Saccharomyces cerevisiae S288C: one gene and its partners. The protein of the gene in region 2 purifies or fractionates together with the protein of the main gene of each other region. This does not show direct contact. Each region holds a gene or a part of one and is shown on either strand. Other genes may lie near its edges.

Region 1 (3,817 bases), on a different chromosome or scaffold from region 2:
GTCCATGTATATCGCCAGAAAAATTAAAAATGAAAATTCCAAATGGGATGAAACTTTTATTCATTATAGTGGCGGCATTGATATTGAATCAGATCCAGCGTTTAAGGATTTTATCAGTGAACTAGTTGAAGATATTGCTGTACCTGATACGAATCTAGATTCCTTGAGACTTAAATACAAAAAGCCTAAACATGGCATGGTTTATTTCAAGGTTTTTGACTGGTGTAAACAAAAACGTTGAAACATAGATCAAAATTATAGCCAGCTAACCCCCTGCATCTTAAATATCATCGATAGACATACTTCTTTATTTCTTTTATGTATTCAAAAAAAGAAAGAAAATGCATTATTCCTCACTTTAAAGATAATTTTCCAATTATGGGAGAAAAAATTTATAAATGAATTAATTATTACAGCCTACAAAACTGATACCGTGTGATAATATATATGAGATAACCGTTATATGAATAATGAATGCCTGATTTTTCTATAAAATAGATGATAAAGTAAGGAAGTGAGATTTTGGTTTTCTGTGTAGGCTAGCACCTTCACTCATGCAATGTCATAATATCATATCCATTTTTCCTTACCTTCAATGCCCATTCGATAGAAATTATGGAAGCCTTTAAAAATCTTCTCGATTGATATTTTTTCAAGAACTCGTCGTGAATAGTAGATCCAACAAGATAATCCATCAGTAATTGGCAAACGGGATATAGTTTTGCCTTTGTGTAACCACCACTATAATGGATTAAGTTGCCATCCCAGGTGCCCTTGCCCAGCATTTTTCTCGAAAGGAACATTGCCGCTGAGGCACATAATGACGGTAATATCCCGATGAACTTGAAGTCCACTATAGATATTTCCATTAGGAACTTCGCTAACGTCCTAGACTGGATATCATAGTCATCCGCTTTTGATATTCTCCTTAAGAAATTCATTGGGTTAGCGAAACTAATTTGAAAATCGAGTTTTTCCAATATAAATCTTTCACCCTCTTTAATATCTTCCACAGAGCATGCACCGTCTGTCTCGTACGCAAAATGTTTTATGCTAGGGGAGTATATTTCCTCATACTTAGATGCGATGAACAGGCATGATGTACCAACCAGTTGCAATCTATTTAACTGAACCACCTCTTCACAAAGAAATCTATCCATTATGTTTATGGCCAAATATAGAGTTTCCGGCAGAAGGCCAAACTTATTATGAATCTTGATTATCCAGTTCACCAAAATGTCTCTGTTTTGCTTAATATTTTTATGCTTATAGAGATTCGCCTTATTTGGCAATGTGATTATTTCCAAGTGATGCAAATAATCGAAGATATCATTAACCTCTTCGCTCACCATTAAGGGATCATCACAATCTTCTTCATCTAGGTCATCCCATTCGTACTCCTCCAGAACCTCTTCTTCTGTAGTCAATTCATGGAGTTTGAACTTTTTCTGGTCATCCTGCTCTACAAGAGTTGATATTGGCCTTTTTTTTTTGGAATCTTCTCTCATTATTTTTTTCTGCCATTCCATTTGAGTGGAAATAGACTTGTTCTCAGAGTATATCAACCGATTACAGCTCAAGGCAGTCGAATTCGTATGAAAAGAGTCATCATTTGAGCACTGCTGCTTTTCTTGCTCGGAATATCCATATTCAGGAATATTTTCCTTATTGTTTAGTACTTCTTGTTTCACCCCCTGTCTACTGTCATTAAAAGAGGAGGTGAAGTCATCGGCTCTCGAAACATCATCCTTTAAAGGAAAGAAGTTGTTCAATTTTGAGAAGTTCTTCATCCCAATTTTTCTGTTCATAGAAATCTCTTGCAGGATATTTGCATTATTTGTGACATTACCGAGAATGGTCCTTGGGACGTTTCTCTTTTGTAAGATATATTGACTTTCGTTTACCCCCTTCTCTTCATTACTATTAATGGTTCTACTATTCTCTACCAAAAGGGATCGTGACATTATGAGAAGATTAAAGCTTCCTTTGATGGTTGATATAACGGACGAAAATATTTTGGCTCTGTTCTTGTTGGTAGATCTTATTCTTAATTACGCTTTTGTGATCTAAACAGCTGCACCAGTTAGCAACTTTAATAGTTTTAAGAAACTATACCAAGAGCCACAAGTAAAACTGTCGCTGGAAAAACCGAAGACACTAAAATTGCAGCCTGCTCAAGTTTGGCCGAATGTAAAAAACACAATACAACCAAAATTGCCTAGAATAGATCACCCTAGTATCTTCTTCTTACACAGAAGTGCAATAACTTCTATTACTTAATATATATAACTACACGCCGTATTCATAAAAGAAGGATCAAACCCGTTTCTGCAGAGGAAGACGAATGAGGAAATCACAAACAAAACAAATTGGGCAGACCGTATGCGGAACGCAAATTGAAGTAATATGTTATGTACGTTCCGCACCTAACTTGCAGGATACCCATAAATGATGCTGTAAAAATGCAAGTTGAAAATGATTAATTAATACAACAAATTTAAAGTTACCGTTGACGTGAGTTTTATGGTGCTTCTATATTTTGTGTCCGCTTCTTGATTGTTGATGTTTTTCCTCTTTGGGCGGTTGTAAACAAAAGGTCGTGCCCGTTTTGTGAGAGCCCCTACTCGAAAACGGTAGTGAAAAACCGCCCAAATGATGCATCTAGTAAAGAAAACTAATTGAAGCGCGTCTGTGTGTGCCTGCTTCAAGAATGACACTGGGCATGCATAGCCTCGTTGAAAAGTCCACTTGCAATACGACGAAAGAGGAGCCAGTAGCACATAATTAATCGGAGGGAATCTCGATCGTGTCCTATTCAAATTTGGAAGAAACGCCTTTTTTAACAGAGCGGGCGGACTTTCAATAAAATTGGATGCAAAAAAAAAAAATGACTGAGTACAAGCGAAGCTTACTAAATAATTGGATAACACCATGAATGATATTATGGAGCAATTCGATAGTTCAAAAATTGACAAAGACAATGCTTTTACGCATCAATAAAAAATGCCGTAACTGTTGCAGTTTTCAGCGTTAGTTTCAATTTTAAGATTATTTTTACTATGAATAGAAGATAAATATTTTCATTTCCCCCCCAGTTGTTGTCATTATGAACATATAAAACATTCATTTACTCTTGTTTATTATCATTCATAGATCAAGAATATATGGTAAATAACGCAAGAAGCTCTTGGAACAATCGTAATGATAAAATAGAAAAGAACAATTGCGCTGTAAATTCTTACGTCCAAAACAATTGTAGTTTAATGCGGGTGAAAATACGTTAACATTAGGCTTGTTTCCAACGAGAACTGTGGCAAGGAAATGTAAACATTAGCATTGCAAAGTCTCTTGCCGAACCTATAGATTACCGATTGAACTTGGCTTGCTACGTATTTTCGAAGTAGTGGATATTTTCATCTTGATTGATTTCTGCTAAAATAACAATCAGTTATCTTCCGCATATTACTCATGCAACAAACTGAAGCTATTATTTACCTTACATCGAATTTTCAAGAAGCGATGATAAAAAATGGTGTGAAATTATATGACCTGAAGACCAGAATTAAACAATCATTGAACCTGACAGAAGCTGATGCACGAAAGTTGATACTTTAAAAAGTATTCTGCGTAAGAAAACCAAACTTAAATATTGCCTTCAAAATTAATTTGTATCAATTGCACGAACAGTTGATGGACTATTATGTCATGAAGAAGAACCGCTTCAATTGCCAATATACATAAAGCTAATAGCAATGATATAAATAGAATTTCGGAACCACCGTTAAGTCCTACTGGATTTTCTCGGTCTGAATAGAAT
Region 2 (6,727 bases):
ACAATAGCAGAATATCTCTATCAAGAACATCCTCTTCGATGTCCGTCGGTAATAATAAGAAGCATTTCCAAAACCAGGTAGATTTCGTTTGCGTTTCCGGTTCGACATCACCTATTATTGAACCATTATTTAAATTAGTGAAGCAAGAGGTTGAAAAGAACAATCTAAAATTTGGTTACACCATTCTTTACGGTAGCTCAAGATCCACTTATGCCAAGGAACATATCAATGGTGTCAATGAACTTTTTACCATCCTTCATGACTTGACAGCCGCCTAAGCGATCATTTTCCCTCCTGTACTTTCAAAATGTTCTCTTTCTTATTCTTCAGTTATAGTTTTTACGAGCGATTATAAATATAAAAGTACGATCTTCCTTTTACGTATATATGTATATACAGCACGATAAATTACAAACAAGTTTCAACTAACAATGTGGGTTATTTCTCATATTGTTAATGAGATCTTATAATAATCATTATACACGAACGCTATTTTTCACTTTTTTTTCATTTTTGTTTTCGCCGCAAGAAGTAATAGTGAAAAATTGAAAAAAGCTTCAATTTTAGTTTGCTGAAAGAAACCTTTACTTATGTAGAAGGTGTACTTGCAAAAGCACTAGTGTAATATAGAGCAAAGTTCATCATGGGTAAGAAAAACACTAAAGGTGGTAAAAAAGGTAGAAGAGGTAAGAACGACTCTGACGGTCCAAAGCGTGAACTTATTTATAAGGAAGAAGGCCAAGAATATGCTCAAATCACCAAGATGTTGGGTAATGGAAGAGTCGAAGCCAGTTGCTTTGATGGTAATAAGAGAATGGCCCATATTAGAGGTAAGTTAAGAAAGAAAGTCTGGATGGGACAAGGTGATATTATTCTTGTTTCCTTAAGAGATTTCCAAGATGACCAATGTGATGTTGTCCACAAATATAATTTAGATGAAGCCAGAACACTGAAAAACCAAGGTGAACTTCCTGAAAACGCCAAAATTAATGAAACAGACAACTTTGGTTTCGAATCTGATGAAGACGTTAACTTTGAATTTGGTAACGCTGATGAAGATGATGAGGAAGGTGAAGATGAAGAACTTGATATTGATGACATTTAATTTAGGCCGAACAAGTGTCCTCAATATCTTCTAATGCGTCAACTATTCATAATTTATTTATAATTATATTTTTTAGTCCATCATAGGAAAGGGTTTTCTTTTTACTATATCGAAATACTTATATATAGATATCAAAAAAAGAATAAAAATGAAATACCTCAAGAAGTCGTTTAATCTTCCTTCTAGGGTTTCTTTCAAGCGGACGTTAAGGAGACGTAATAAAAATTTTCTCGCACGAGAAATTTGAGCAAAGAGCACGTTGCGAATACGTTTTATCCATTCATCGTTTTTAATTTATTACCTTTTCTTTCGATGCTGTTTATTGTCACTCATGAGTGCTTCCGTTTTTTCCATCGAAAATTTACTTTTTTAGACTGAAAAGAAAATGAAAAGTTAAAATAAATTTTTACCAGAAAATGCTCATCGCAGGAAAATGACAATACTATTGTGAGCTTCCCGAGGTACACATTACTTCATACTGAAAGTTTCAAAAAATGACTACGGATGTGCAATTTTCAAGTCAGGAAATCGAGCTTTTCCGTGTCAAAGAATTCTTGATTGCTAATAATCCAGCAAAGATCAACAATGAAAATAAGGATGCTGTTTTAACTCAGATTGAGCATGATTTCAGGTATTTAATACAGTATATCAAGGACGGATTACCGAACTTAAATGAGTCCACAAGGTTAATTTTTCCAGATACCTTTTCGATCTGTTTACTAAGGAGCCATCAAATAATTGCAAGCAAAAAAATTGACTCTCAAGAATTTTTATCGGCGGTAAAAGAGCAACTCTTAACTGAAGCGAATGCAAATATTATCTTTGAATATGTTCTTGACTTTTGGGCTGATGGTGGAGCCCCACTGATGAATGCCTTGAGAGATTTATTCAGTAAACTACTGAACTTATTGAAAATCACATATCCTATGTCAACCTTGAAGGATGTTTTATTTAATTGGATGAATGAAATATTAGAAGTACCATCTACGTTGCGTGTTCAGTATTACTTGATTGATGCCCTTTCTTCTGATTTTGACCTTTATTATATTATAGAAAAAAAGCCTCATTTCATCGATAACTCTTTTTCATTAATGAACTCTGATTTGCTAGCAAATTCGGTAGGTAAATGCATTGTTAGTTTGCTGTTAAACATTTACGAAAAGCATTTCAAAAAGAACGAGTCTTTTGTACAAGAATGGATACAATTATGGAAAAGTTGTGCTTTAAAGTACATTCACGACAAACAATACACCAAATCCATTAATCTGTATATTATGATTCCATTATTCAAAAATATGCCAAACTCGGCCTTCACACTTTTCCTAGAATGTATGTCTAACAAAGACCCATCACTTTTGCTCTCACTTTTAAAGATTGGCCAAGAATTGGGGATTGAAGAAGAACCATTTTGTGATAATAAATATACCACTGTAGATTCTGTTAACAAACTCATAGAGCAAGATGAGTATAAACTTCAGGTATTTGAAATACTGACCTTTTCGACAAAAAAGTCAAAGCCTATTCGTCCCTTCGTCTTCAAAACTATAAAACAGTACCTATATGTGTTCTTCGTGGACACTGAACTTGAACGCAGAAATTACTTTTGCAGTTCGATGAAACACTTTATATTTAGAACCAGAGACTGCGCATACTCTTTAGCTAGGGATGCCAGAAAGCTTAAAAAGGCTGAGAAATTTCCGGACGAACAGAGGGAAAAGTTGGCGCAAGTTGAGGAGGCTAGAGCCTTTTTGGTTTGGCTATGCAATTTTATAAAATATAATTTGGCCCCTGGTACTTTATATCAGGCGAACGTGACCTCATTAAAACTTATGCACATTCTGATCAAGTCTGGTGTTGATAAATCTACTCCACAAAAATTTTTAGACAACCAAAATAAGAGGGAATATCCTTTTTCTATCCCAATTTTACAGGATGTCACATTTTTAAGGTTGCTCATTGACCTTTTGGTTAGTAATTATGCTGACGTGCGCGAATTATCTAAAGAAATGCTATTTATAATGATAAGCGCTGATGAATCTAGAGGTCTTTTTTTGGATACCTTAGACGCAAATGCTTTGAAGTGGACTGCAACCTCTCTTTTAAGTGACTATGAGAAAGGTGATGCTGGAGCTACCGTATATGAGTTCATATTCACAGTCATGGGCTCTCAAAGAAGCTTCATTGACCAGACAATTGATATATTAGCGCAGATGGTACAAAATTTGCAAAATGACAGCATTGGTTGTGCAGAAAATTCAATCGGTCCTCACTTTGCTGCACTAAGCTTGATTTTGAATAAGTTTAACTCTGAAGAAAACCATCAAGATACTTCAAAAATAATCTCAAAATTAATAAATCTTGTACTCAAGAGCTGGGAAGCAACGAGAAATGTAGTGTGTCATGATTCTGCCCATGGAATACTACCTGAAAAATATGCTAATTGTGGTGTACCGGACCAAGTTATAATAAGTCACGCATTTAGGGCGATAAAAGAAGCATCATATTTACTTGAAACAATATTAAAAAAATACCCTTTAACAAGAGATCAATTAGACAGTATCGGCGATCTTTTTATTGTTCAGCTTTCTACTATTCGTCATAGTGGCGCCTTCCAAGCCGTTTTACCGGGGCTAAAGGCATTTTGTATTCGTTGTCAACTTGAATTTCCCGCTATTCTGGAAGAACTTTTAAGCAAGAGTGTAAAATCTTTAAAATCCAAAACTCAACATATTACAAGAAGGTCAGGAGGCTTGCCTTTCTTGGTCACAACCGTCTTAAGTGCAGAAGTTACCAAAGGGAGACCTTTGTTACAAAAAACTTTTGAAAACTTACTACTCGTTGCAAGGTTACCAATTCCTCCCCATCAAGATGAGTTTGATTTACCACAGGTTAATGCTATTAATTGTATAAACGCAATCTTTGTTGAACCGAAGCTCTCTGTACACTGTACGTCATTTGTCTCAGAGGCATTAGAACTAGCTTTATTGAATTTCGACTGTGATATATGGGCTCTAAGAAACTGTTCTATCATGCTGTTTACCTCCTTGCAAAATAGAATTTTTGGAAAAGTGGGCAGAAGCGTTAGTGCAAAATTATTCTTTACCAAATATTCTGGCTTGAGGCAACTGCTTTTGAATATTCTAAACAGTTCTATTGCTCAATATTCGGGAAGTGAAAGAAAATCATATCAAATTGAAAGCATTTTCTTGGTCCTTAATGTGCTACTGAGGTTACGGCCTACAGCTGGCTATACTGGTCTAAAAGAATTCAACGTTTCTGTTTATGAATGTTTATCAAATGAGAACTGGAAGATCAGAGATATGGCCTCTAGAGTATTGCATATGCTGTCGGAAAATTTTGAAGAAGAGATAAGAAAATTACTTGACTTGGCTTCTATCGCGAAGCAAAACCAGTTACATGGACACTTACTAGCACTCCAACAACTAGTACCACAATACCTTTCAGGAACTAGAGATATGGAGTTGATTCAAAGGATACTTGAAAAGAAAAGGATGCTTCTACTAGAGAACAAGTGCTTTATCACTAAAAAGGCCTACTTAAAATTGACCTGCTGTATATTGGAAACATGCGACATACCTGATTCTATTTTAAAAGATTATATCAGCACTTTGCGGAACACATTTATTGCTGAAAATAACGAATATGTTGTGGATGGTAGCAAACAGCTATATCTTGCACAAATCTTAGACATGCTCTTAAAATATGAGGATAGTATATATCTCGATGATATTTGCTTATTAGGATTGTATTCTCCATTTTATGAGGCTCAGCTCAGTACACTACAGTACATGAATACTAACTTTCACTGGGAAACTACAAGAAACTCAGAATTTCTTGAACAACTACAATTATTACTCAGGGTTCCAGATTTGCTGCCTATGGCTAAAGCTTTAGTAGTGAAAATTCTCTCAAGAAAAAAGAATACTTTATCCCTGACGACCTGCACTGATCTCCTAAAAACAAATAATAGTGAAGATACAAAACTTGCTGCCGTTTCATCACTAAGTGCTAAATTGTCTTCGCAAACCTTTCACCAGGTATGGAACTTGTTACAAGGATTTTTCGCCGATTCTTGTTCAAAAGATTTTAGATTGGCATCTTTAGAATGTTTAACTGCTTATCCAGAAAGTTGTAAGAACTCCAGAATACTATTACAACTGTACAACTTCTTATGGGACGATGATTCTGAAATAAGAGAAAAGGCTTCTTTTTATTTGAATAAGAACTTTATTCAAACTGCAGACTGGGAATATAACAGGAACACCAGTGTGACCGCTCTTATATTCACAAAAAAGTTTGTTGACGTATTCACAAGTTCTGAGGTGGTAGAAGAGTTGTGTTTACAGTTGTTTCAATATCTAAATGAATATGATATGTTTGCTGCCGAAGAATCGGCGAAGAATTGTCTATTTACTATAGAAAAGGATAACCAGTTCATCAACGAACTACAAAAGGCAATGCATATATTAAATATGATAAAATTGACTGGAAGGGATATCTCAAAGTGTTACAAAGACCAGATACATCACCTAAAAAGTGCTCTATTGGAGCACTTCAACACCGAGGATTTTAAAGATTCCCCACTCGGCTGGTGCTCTAATGCTGAAATATTTTCAAGAATAACGCTTTTAAAGGAACTGATTCAACATTATTCTCCTTCTGATTATGAGAATTTTATCAATGTTCTGACTAAACATTCTGTTCATCCCCTAATTATCAGTTATTCCCAATTATAAATAATGAATATGTACAGATATATACTTTGCATATAATCTGATTCATCTCTAACCTACTTGTGGATTTAGTGACGAGATTCATTGTGGAACCTATTACAAAGCATGTCGATTTCTATTCTAAATACAATGATGGAACTTGATTTAATTTCTTTACCGTTGTCATTTTCTTTTGAATTTTTTCCACCTCTTTTTTTGTTGAAAAATGTTCATGGATGGAAAATTAAAGGTGTGCCCTATTACAAAAGCAAGTTGTACCCCTTTACTAACTCTCTAGTCAATTTGAACTATTGTGAAAACGACAGTTGTGCTCACATGATATAACAAAAGTAATACTGACAAATGGCATTCCAAGATCAAGATATATTCATAGTGTTCTCGCATGCCTCCTTATTTCTTAATCAAAATGATTTATTAAGCCTAAGTCTAACATCCAAAAAAATGCATGACATGATTGCAATCCCTCGTCTTTATAGCAATATTCACATAACTAAGAATCCTGTTTTAAGAACAAACAAATGGTTTTTGGACGGGGGAAAAACTTATGTAAGTGGTTATAGATCTGTTCTGAAAACCGGTGACAAGAATGACATATTTTTATATGATAGAATTGAAAGGTTGTTGGAGACATCGCATTTAAAATGTATAAAACAGCTGACTATTGACGAGGATTTGTTTCACAACAGGGAAGAAGGATTGCAACTGTTACAAAGATTGGTCAATGAAATCACTGACTTGGACGTGATTGAAAGTCTTGACATCAAGGATCCTACCTTGTTTGAGTTATGTTCAGCAAAGTATTATCGCCTGTCAAGTTTAAAGAAGAGAGTAGTATATGGCGAAACTGGATTTGATGGTATCAAATTAT
Region 3 (3,504 bases), on a different chromosome or scaffold from region 2:
TTCGGTGGAATAAAAGGCACATGTATCAACCTGACTTTCACTTTTACTTAACCCCAAGCTATGTCTCCATTGGCCAGGTACTCAAAAGAACAACCGGGTTTATGTGAGCGTTTCGAGGTTTTTGTATCTAAAAAGGAGATATGTAATGCGTAAACCCGAACTGAACAATTCGTTTGACCAAAAGGGGCTTTCCTACAAACAAGCAGGGCAATAGGAGCAAGGCAAATGGATCAAGGTGATGCTTATGCATAATTTATACGATGGAATCCTTTGTAATGCTCCGTACTACGGTTTACCACCAACCGGCTTTTGGGTTGTAATATTGACAGATTCACCATGTTCTCAATGGTTCTGTCACAATTCGAAAGTTCTATTACTCGCAAATTCGAAAGCAGATGTTTTAAGAGACGAGGTGAAGTAAAAAAGAAGAAAAATGATTGCCATACTCCTCAATGCTTGCATGTAATATAATATAATATAATTACTGTTTCATTTTCTTTTATATTATACAATGGATATTCTACATAACCGTAACCTATATCGTTTTTAATGATTGCAAGGAAAAGTTGATTTTGTAGATAATCTTATAATGTAGTGACTTATTTAATTGTTTGATTAGAGGTAGTAATATTGCAATCAAACTGATCTAGTGAGTTTCCCGCTCCTTTTTAATTCCAAAGCTTTCTTGTAGGGAGGGTTCGTCGGGCTTTGAACAGGATCTAAGGACGATGAAGTGCCTGCAACCGAAGAAGGTAGGTCATGATAAGTGGCATCTGAGTCGAAACTTTGAAGACTTCCACAAGCCATAAATTCGGCTATGTTTCTCTCCTCTTCATTCCAATGAGACAATTTGTCTGATATACACAATTTATTCAAAAAACAGCCTTGAAAAAATTCATCAACGGATGTATTTACATCTAATTTTGGTGTCCAATTGGATGGTGGGTTATAGCCTAAACAAACAATAAAAGCTTCCAGAGATGTACCTCTTGATGATCTTGGCTTTGCGCAAACGATTTTATCGAATAGATAGCCCAATTGGGAATATAGCATATCTATATCACGACCTCTGAAGATCTTTGCCACAAAAGTTCCACCTTTTTTCAGAATGCATGCAGTAAGTTGCAGCGCACTCATAATTAACTGTTGTTGCACGTATTCGTCAAGATCGTGTAACCCAGTAACATCAGGTGCACCATCACTACAAACAAAATCGGCCTTTTCGTTGCCAAACAGTTTTAGAATCCTCGCCAATGTTTTAGGATGAGTGATATCGGCTTGCAACGTTGTCACATGAGGTATGGGGGACATCGGTTGTAAATCGACAGAGACAATTTTCCTGTCCTCCTTATCTGAACTGGGACTTTCATCAAACAGTTTTCTCGAGAGCACTTGTGACCATGAACCTGGTGCTGCACACAAATCTACAACTCTTTTTAAGTTTGGATCATCCAGGAAATGAAATTGGTCATTGAGTTGAAGTAGTTTGAAAGCAGATCTAGCCCTATAGCCCTGCTCTTTTGCTTTTCTATAGTACAAATCTCTTTTATCTTTGCTGCTCTTACCCATCTTGAATACTTTCTTTTTAAGCTTGCCTTGTACTCATCTACTGTTGTTTTACAGTAATGTTAGGAGCATCGCTTGAAAATTTTCAACTCGCGATAATTATTGTTAGCGCAGAATAATAATACCTAGTAAAAAGTTTATCGTTGCTTTTACTTCATCATGATAATCAAAATACTTGTAGGTCTGTCTTCTGTGAAAGAAGACGTAGTTACCTATTCTACTTAGGTTTGGTGTCTTTATATAATATAAAAGAAAGATATTAACCGTACATACCCCAATCTTCTTCCAGTTCTGCTTCAGTTGTATCAATCTCATTAATGATTCGGTGGCCCATAACATTATCTCTGCATAATGGACATGTTGTACTTCGAGATAGCCAGACAGACAAACACTCTAAGTCGAACTTATGATGGCAATGAGGTAATTCAACTACTAAGGGGTACTCATCTTCTAAATAATTAGTGTAACAAATGGAGCAGTTGTCAGTTGCTTTGAGCTTTTTTTTATTGATTCGTGGTAAAGAGGCTGCAAAAGTATCAGGACAGCCCGCACTCTTGCCTTTATCCATTTCTTGCAACCATTCTTCCTGTAATGATTCTGGAAGCATTTGCGATAATAATCGTAAAAGTAGTGTTGAATCTGAATGTGCATCACCCTCACCACTGGTGTTACCAAAGTTTTGAAATAGACCTTGCAGTTGGGATCTGACCTGTCTTCTCTGCTCCTCCTGTGAAGTTCCTCCTACTTCTTGGTAATCCCTTGAGTTTTGTTGTATTCCATGTTCCTCTAATCTAATGATGAGTGCAGATTAAAATTCGGTTAGTTAATTGGCTTTGGGGAACTTACTTCATAATATATCATTACATACCTTCATATGTAGACATTTTTTTGATTGTGATTATGTTTGATGAATATATCTTTCTATTATTTCTTTAGTAGTTTAGGAGTGGCAAAACTGGTATTATAACGAACTGAGCGCTCCTCGGTGCAAACAAAAGCCGCCCACAACAATTTTGACCAACTTAGGCAAAATGAAGCCATTACTAGAAAACGAAGAGTATATATCATCACAGTAATTCGGGTAGGAGAGTTGGTCACCAAAATGGGACTCATATGGAAGGCAAAAATTTCGAGCTTATTCATCATGGTTGTACCCGTAAAGTTTTTGTTTCCGATATATAGAGTACAGATGTTTTCTAGTTAACAGTTGGCATATCTTACATTTTCCGGATTATGTATCAAATAAACTTTATCTATGAATAGTTAGAGTACCACAGTAGAATCGAAGTTGCGCCTTTATCATTAACTAACAATTTTTTTGTGGGAACCGAACTATTATGTCTCCTGGAACAAATCTTTTGACTTTTAACCCGGAGCAAATTGCGAATCCTTGTCAAATTTTGAACTTCATCATAGCGGATAAGATCCTTATGAATCACTTCATCTAATCGCTCTCGTTTTTCTCGGTATGCTCCAGTTATTTCAATTGGGATGTTGTTATCAAAGAAAACTGGTTTTTCCATGAACATAGTCAGGAAAAGTTCGTCACCAAATTGGCTTTTTATAATCAAAAACGATTTACAGATATCACGAATTTCTCTACTCACAGATTTAGTATTATCTCGAGCAGTGAAGCTTCTCATAATTGAAATATTTCCAGGCGCGTATTGTCTGCCATAATGGGAGAGAGATACATCGCATCCCATAGGAACTTTAACCATTGTTTCGTTAATACTTTTTTCAATACCTTTAAACGGCGTTTCATTCGCGCTATCAAGTAATGTATTATTTACCACTGCTTTAAACTCGGGATTCGAGCCAGGTGATCGCGTTAAGACCTCTGTTGTATAATCTTTAGTTAATAAGTCGTACTCATCAAAATTGCCATAGGTGAAATTTTCATCGCTTTGGTTCAAAGTTACCATATTTTGCCTACCA
Region 4 (4,016 bases), on a different chromosome or scaffold from region 2:
TTAGTAGGAGGAAGCATCGTCACGACATCTTGGGAAAGACAAAATAATGCACCTAAATATCATGATGGTTATGGAATGCGCAATATACACACCTCTTCTCATCCACAAATTACCCCATATTACCAGTACTCACATGCGAATAGTTTGAACTCCCCACACATGAGAGATCTTTCGTCAATGAATAGCAGCACAAGATCACTAATAAAGAATAAAAATTTCAATAAGAAAGTTTTGGAAACATTCGAAAAGCAAGTAAGAAGAGGTATAGATTTCATGAGATTTCCAAGTGCCACTAGAGACGAAAATGTGCACGGAATAGCTGAGTATATATTCGACACTTATTGGAATCGCGATGTGTTAATATTGGACAAATTTTTATCGTTGCTAAATAGTAGTCCATATCATGAAGGTGTATTGCAAAAACAAATTGAAGAGGCTGCAAGCTCGTTAGGATTTAAAAGATGAATGTCTCTTTGTTAATTTAGCTAGAGTTTTCCTTATTTATTTTTTTTATTTACACTAATTCAATCTTTTTCGTTATATTTAGATATTATTAAAAATTATTATTATGGAAAAAATTCTTAAAAGGATAGACAGAGGGACGCCGTCTGCTATATGATATGTATTTAGGTCCGAGTGCTGATAAACTGTAAGGCAAAAGGTATAAGTGTAAATCAATAACGTTTCTCGTATTCTTTACTCTCCTTCAAATTTTTTAAACTAGTTCAACGTAATTTGCTGGGAATATACCTTCTCTACCGTTGACTCTTCCGGTCCACCAGTCATTTTGAGAATCTGATTTTTTCAAAATTGTGATCACGTCACCCTTTCTGAATGGTAAATCTCCGGACTCTTCTCCTGCAAAGCTATATAATGCCACGGCCTTTGGAGAAGACGTGGATGGGGATGTTGGAGCAGTGAATCTGCCCTGACTAGTTTGCGGTGTTGAAGCGGACGAGATTCTAGATTTAGAAAATCTGTTCGACAAGTCATCGACTTCACGGTCTTTTGTCCTATCTCTTCCATTCCCGCGTCTATACCCGGATTCATAATCATCATCATAATCATCGTATTCATCATCAGCCCAACGATTTCTTGAAGAACGAGCCCTTGACTGAGCAGTTCCTGATCTTCTGTGGCTGGCATAATAACTTGAAGCTCCAGATGGGTCATCCAATTTACCACCACTACCGCCACTGTTGGTAGGAGCCAGTCTTGAATTCCTTGAATAGCCAGTACCATAATCATCATCGTCATCATCATCGTCGAACGTATAACGAGAACCGCTTTGGGCTCTTCTCCTTGTGGATCTTGTGTTAGGTCTAGTGGAGGAAGCATCTGTAGAACTGAATGAACTAGGAATGTCATTATAGTAATCGTCGTCGTCATAGTAATCGTCTTCGTCGTCATCGAAACTGCCACGACCACCGTTGGAGGGTCTGTAATTAAACGCCCTGGACTCTAAAACACGAAACAATGGATCAACTGCTGGAGGCGGTCTTATCCTACCAGACAAAATCATTTTCGCGGTACAATTGTCACCATAAAATTTTCTGTTAGCCTCTCTTCTTTCTATAATAGCCGAACCTTCCACAGAAACCCCTGCAAATAGACCTTTACTCTTAGAATAGGCAAAAACTGCAGCCACACCACCGGCGGAGGCTGATGCAGCTGCTTCTGCACTTCTACCAAGAGGCCCAGCAGAAACGGAGACGTTACCACCCAACGTGATGGTCCCAAATTCAGAAAACGACTTAACAGCATCCTGAGTATTTAAAATGAAAACAAAATCAGTCAATTCTATACCAACCATCCCACCGGCACCAGCACCTGCCATGGCAATGGCAGATGGAGCTGACCAAGTACCATCCTTTAATCTTGCGACAATCACACCAGAACCAGCTCTACCTGAAAATAGAAAACCTGCTTTTAAGATCGTTATGATAGCCAACCCTTTAGCTCTTTTCAAAACGTCTGGAGGAATGACTTGGTCCGCACCAAAAACTTGGTTTGGTTTGACAAAACTAGCCAAAATCTTCGCTGCTTTTCTTTATTAATTGTTTATTACTAGTTAGTAAATGATGAACAAATTAAGGGAGAACTTTTTTAAAGGTTTCCCAGCCAAACCCGTATAAAACATACTTTGTCTCACTCTTTAAACTCCTTGGAATAGGATTGTTAATACCCATTGCGTGTGATACAGCTTTTGTTTTTGATTTCTTTGCCACCCGTGATCCAAAGCCGTTCTAGATTTCTTCGATAGTTTATACTCTTTCATGTTGAACTTCCAGATGCGGCCGAGTCGGCGAGCAAACAGGGTGCTGCTACTAAACGAACAATAAAGAAAGACAATTTGGGCACCCAATATAAAATGAGCAGTCAATTCAATCAATTCAGTGTGAAATTTTTTTCTTGGAAAGATCATTCACTTCTACACAGCTGTACATGAGTTTATATGACAGTTTTTTTTTATGTACATCCAGTTCAAGATAATCAGATTATATATTGGCCCAAAAGGGATCATTAACGAATTGCGAAATGGGTAATCTCTTTACAGTTAACAGATTCTCTGGTGATTGGCTTTCCTCAAGGTAGCAAATATACTCTAATTGTAGCACGTCTACTATGTATTTCTTTACCTTGTCATAGCACACACCCACTTGCGCCACGCCGTGTGCGTCATCACTTAGAACAAATCTGGATCCACAGTGCTTCTTGACCAGATTACATAAGGTTTTGCTGGGGTACGGCTCCTCGAGGCGCTTTCTTAATGCGGACGTATTGATTTCAATTGCGCCGCCATAGGAGTCTATAAATTGTAAATTTCTTACAACTGCATCGTATATTTCTGGCCATTCACTGATGACGTCCAGTGAAGCTACAGGAACTCCGGTTTCTTCGTTGCAGTTGCCCGATTTCTGGTTTACTAGCATGTCATTGGGCAAAAATAATTTGTAAAGGTCGAAGTGACCCACGACCAACGGTTTAATATTGATCAGCATTTCGTACTGTGATTGGAAGTAAGACAGGAGAAAATGTTTCAAATTATCATTGAAGGAATGCAATGAATTGTACCATTGTTGTTGGTCGAAATCAATAGGGATCCCGTTGACGTGATGGACCGAACCCACACAAAACTTCAAAATATCATTATTCTCCTTCATGAGTCGCTTTGCATATTCGATATGAGCCATGTCACAACTTTCGATCTCCATTCCTATAATGAATTTAGTCCGCACATCGGGTCTATCAGCATAACGAGTCTTGATTTCTTGCGCATGACTCATGAAATTCTTGAACGATGTTTCTAGCTTGGTTATGACTTCCTCAGGATTCTTGCCCAATGACTGCTCTTCGGGGTATATAAACTTGGCCTCAATTCTTGGTATGTGCTCTGTCAAACAGTACGTGTGAAAGTTGAGGTTGACCACTTGATCGACCACGGAATCCAAAGGGTCCGTACCGTGGGCACTATAGTCACCGGAGTGTGAATGGTGTGAGTGCATGACCTCGAGGATTTTTACTGAATTGTACGTATCAAGAAGTACTAAAATGTGTTTGAAAGGGAAAGATTGTACGGGAAATGGAAAATGTACATATAATATCCAGTATCATTTGAGTTGATAGAGATTATCTCTATAGATAGAGAGATTTGACAAAAAAAATAAAAAAATTTAAATGGACGAGTCCGGAATCGAACCGGAGACCTCTCCCATGCTAAGGGAGCGCGCTACCGACTACGCCACACGCCCGAACGTTTGTTGAAATCTTCCAAACAGAAATGATACAGGTTTACTTTACAGCAAGACATTAGTAGTTTCATTAGCTTATCAACATGTATGAAACCGGCAAGATTGAAAGCTTGATTGCCCTTGACGAGCTACTCAAATGTGTAAATATCTGCACAATCAGTTTACACTCATGTTTCCGCGCTTTTACCCTCCATCTAGATTAAAATCTTATATGGATTATTTGGGATAAATAGCATTTAGTAAATCAAATTGATAAAAAAAAGA

Evidence for each region.
Region 1: the proteins of TRM732 (region 2) and CLB1 purify together in Saccharomyces cerevisiae (affinity purification with mass spectrometry, with the first as the bait; one large-scale study listed by BioGRID). This does not show direct contact.
Region 3: the proteins of TRM732 (region 2) and TRM7 purify together in Saccharomyces cerevisiae (affinity purification with western blotting; 5 studies listed by BioGRID, with this or other methods). This does not show direct contact.
Region 4: the proteins of TRM732 (region 2) and LSB3 purify together in Saccharomyces cerevisiae (affinity purification with mass spectrometry, with the first as the bait; one large-scale study listed by BioGRID). This does not show direct contact.

What each region holds. Positions count from the first base shown.
Region 1 is NC_001139.9:701,783-705,599, reverse strand, and holds CLB1 (B-type cyclin CLB1), read right to left. Parts: upstream 1,965-3,817; coding exon 549-1,964; downstream 1-548. Other genes in the region: B-type cyclin CLB6, read left to right, coding at 1-241. UniProt on the Saccharomyces cerevisiae protein: Essential for the control of the cell cycle at the G2/M (mitosis) transition. Interacts with the CDC2 protein kinase to form MPF. G2/M cyclins accumulate steadily during G2 and are abruptly destroyed at mitosis.
Region 2 is NC_001145.3:783,756-790,482, reverse strand, and holds TRM732 (tRNA methylation protein TRM732), read left to right. Parts: upstream 1-1,599; coding exon 1,600-5,862; downstream 5,863-6,727. Other genes in the region: TPS3 (trehalose 6-phosphate synthase/phosphatase complex subunit), read left to right, coding at 1-278; TIF11 (translation initiation complex factor eIF1A), read left to right, coding at 644-1,105; ROY1 (Roy1p), read left to right, coding at 6,202-6,727. UniProt on the Saccharomyces cerevisiae protein: Together with methyltransferase TRM7, methylates the 2'-O-ribose of nucleotides at position 32 of the anticodon loop of substrate tRNAs.
Region 3 is NC_001134.8:364,151-367,654, forward strand, and holds TRM7 (tRNA methyltransferase TRM7), read right to left. Parts: upstream 1,570-3,504; coding exon 637-1,569; downstream 1-636. Other genes in the region: YBR062C (uncharacterized protein), read right to left, coding at 1,826-2,352, 2,435-2,450; CNM1 (Cnm1p), read right to left, coding at 2,820-3,504.
Region 4 is NC_001138.5:201,245-205,260, forward strand, and holds LSB3 (Lsb3p), read right to left. Parts: upstream 2,190-4,016; coding exon 2,143-2,189; intron 2,049-2,142; coding exon 716-2,048; downstream 1-715. Other genes in the region: PES4 (Pes4p), read left to right, coding at 1-465; HIS2 (histidinol-phosphatase), read right to left, coding at 2,499-3,506.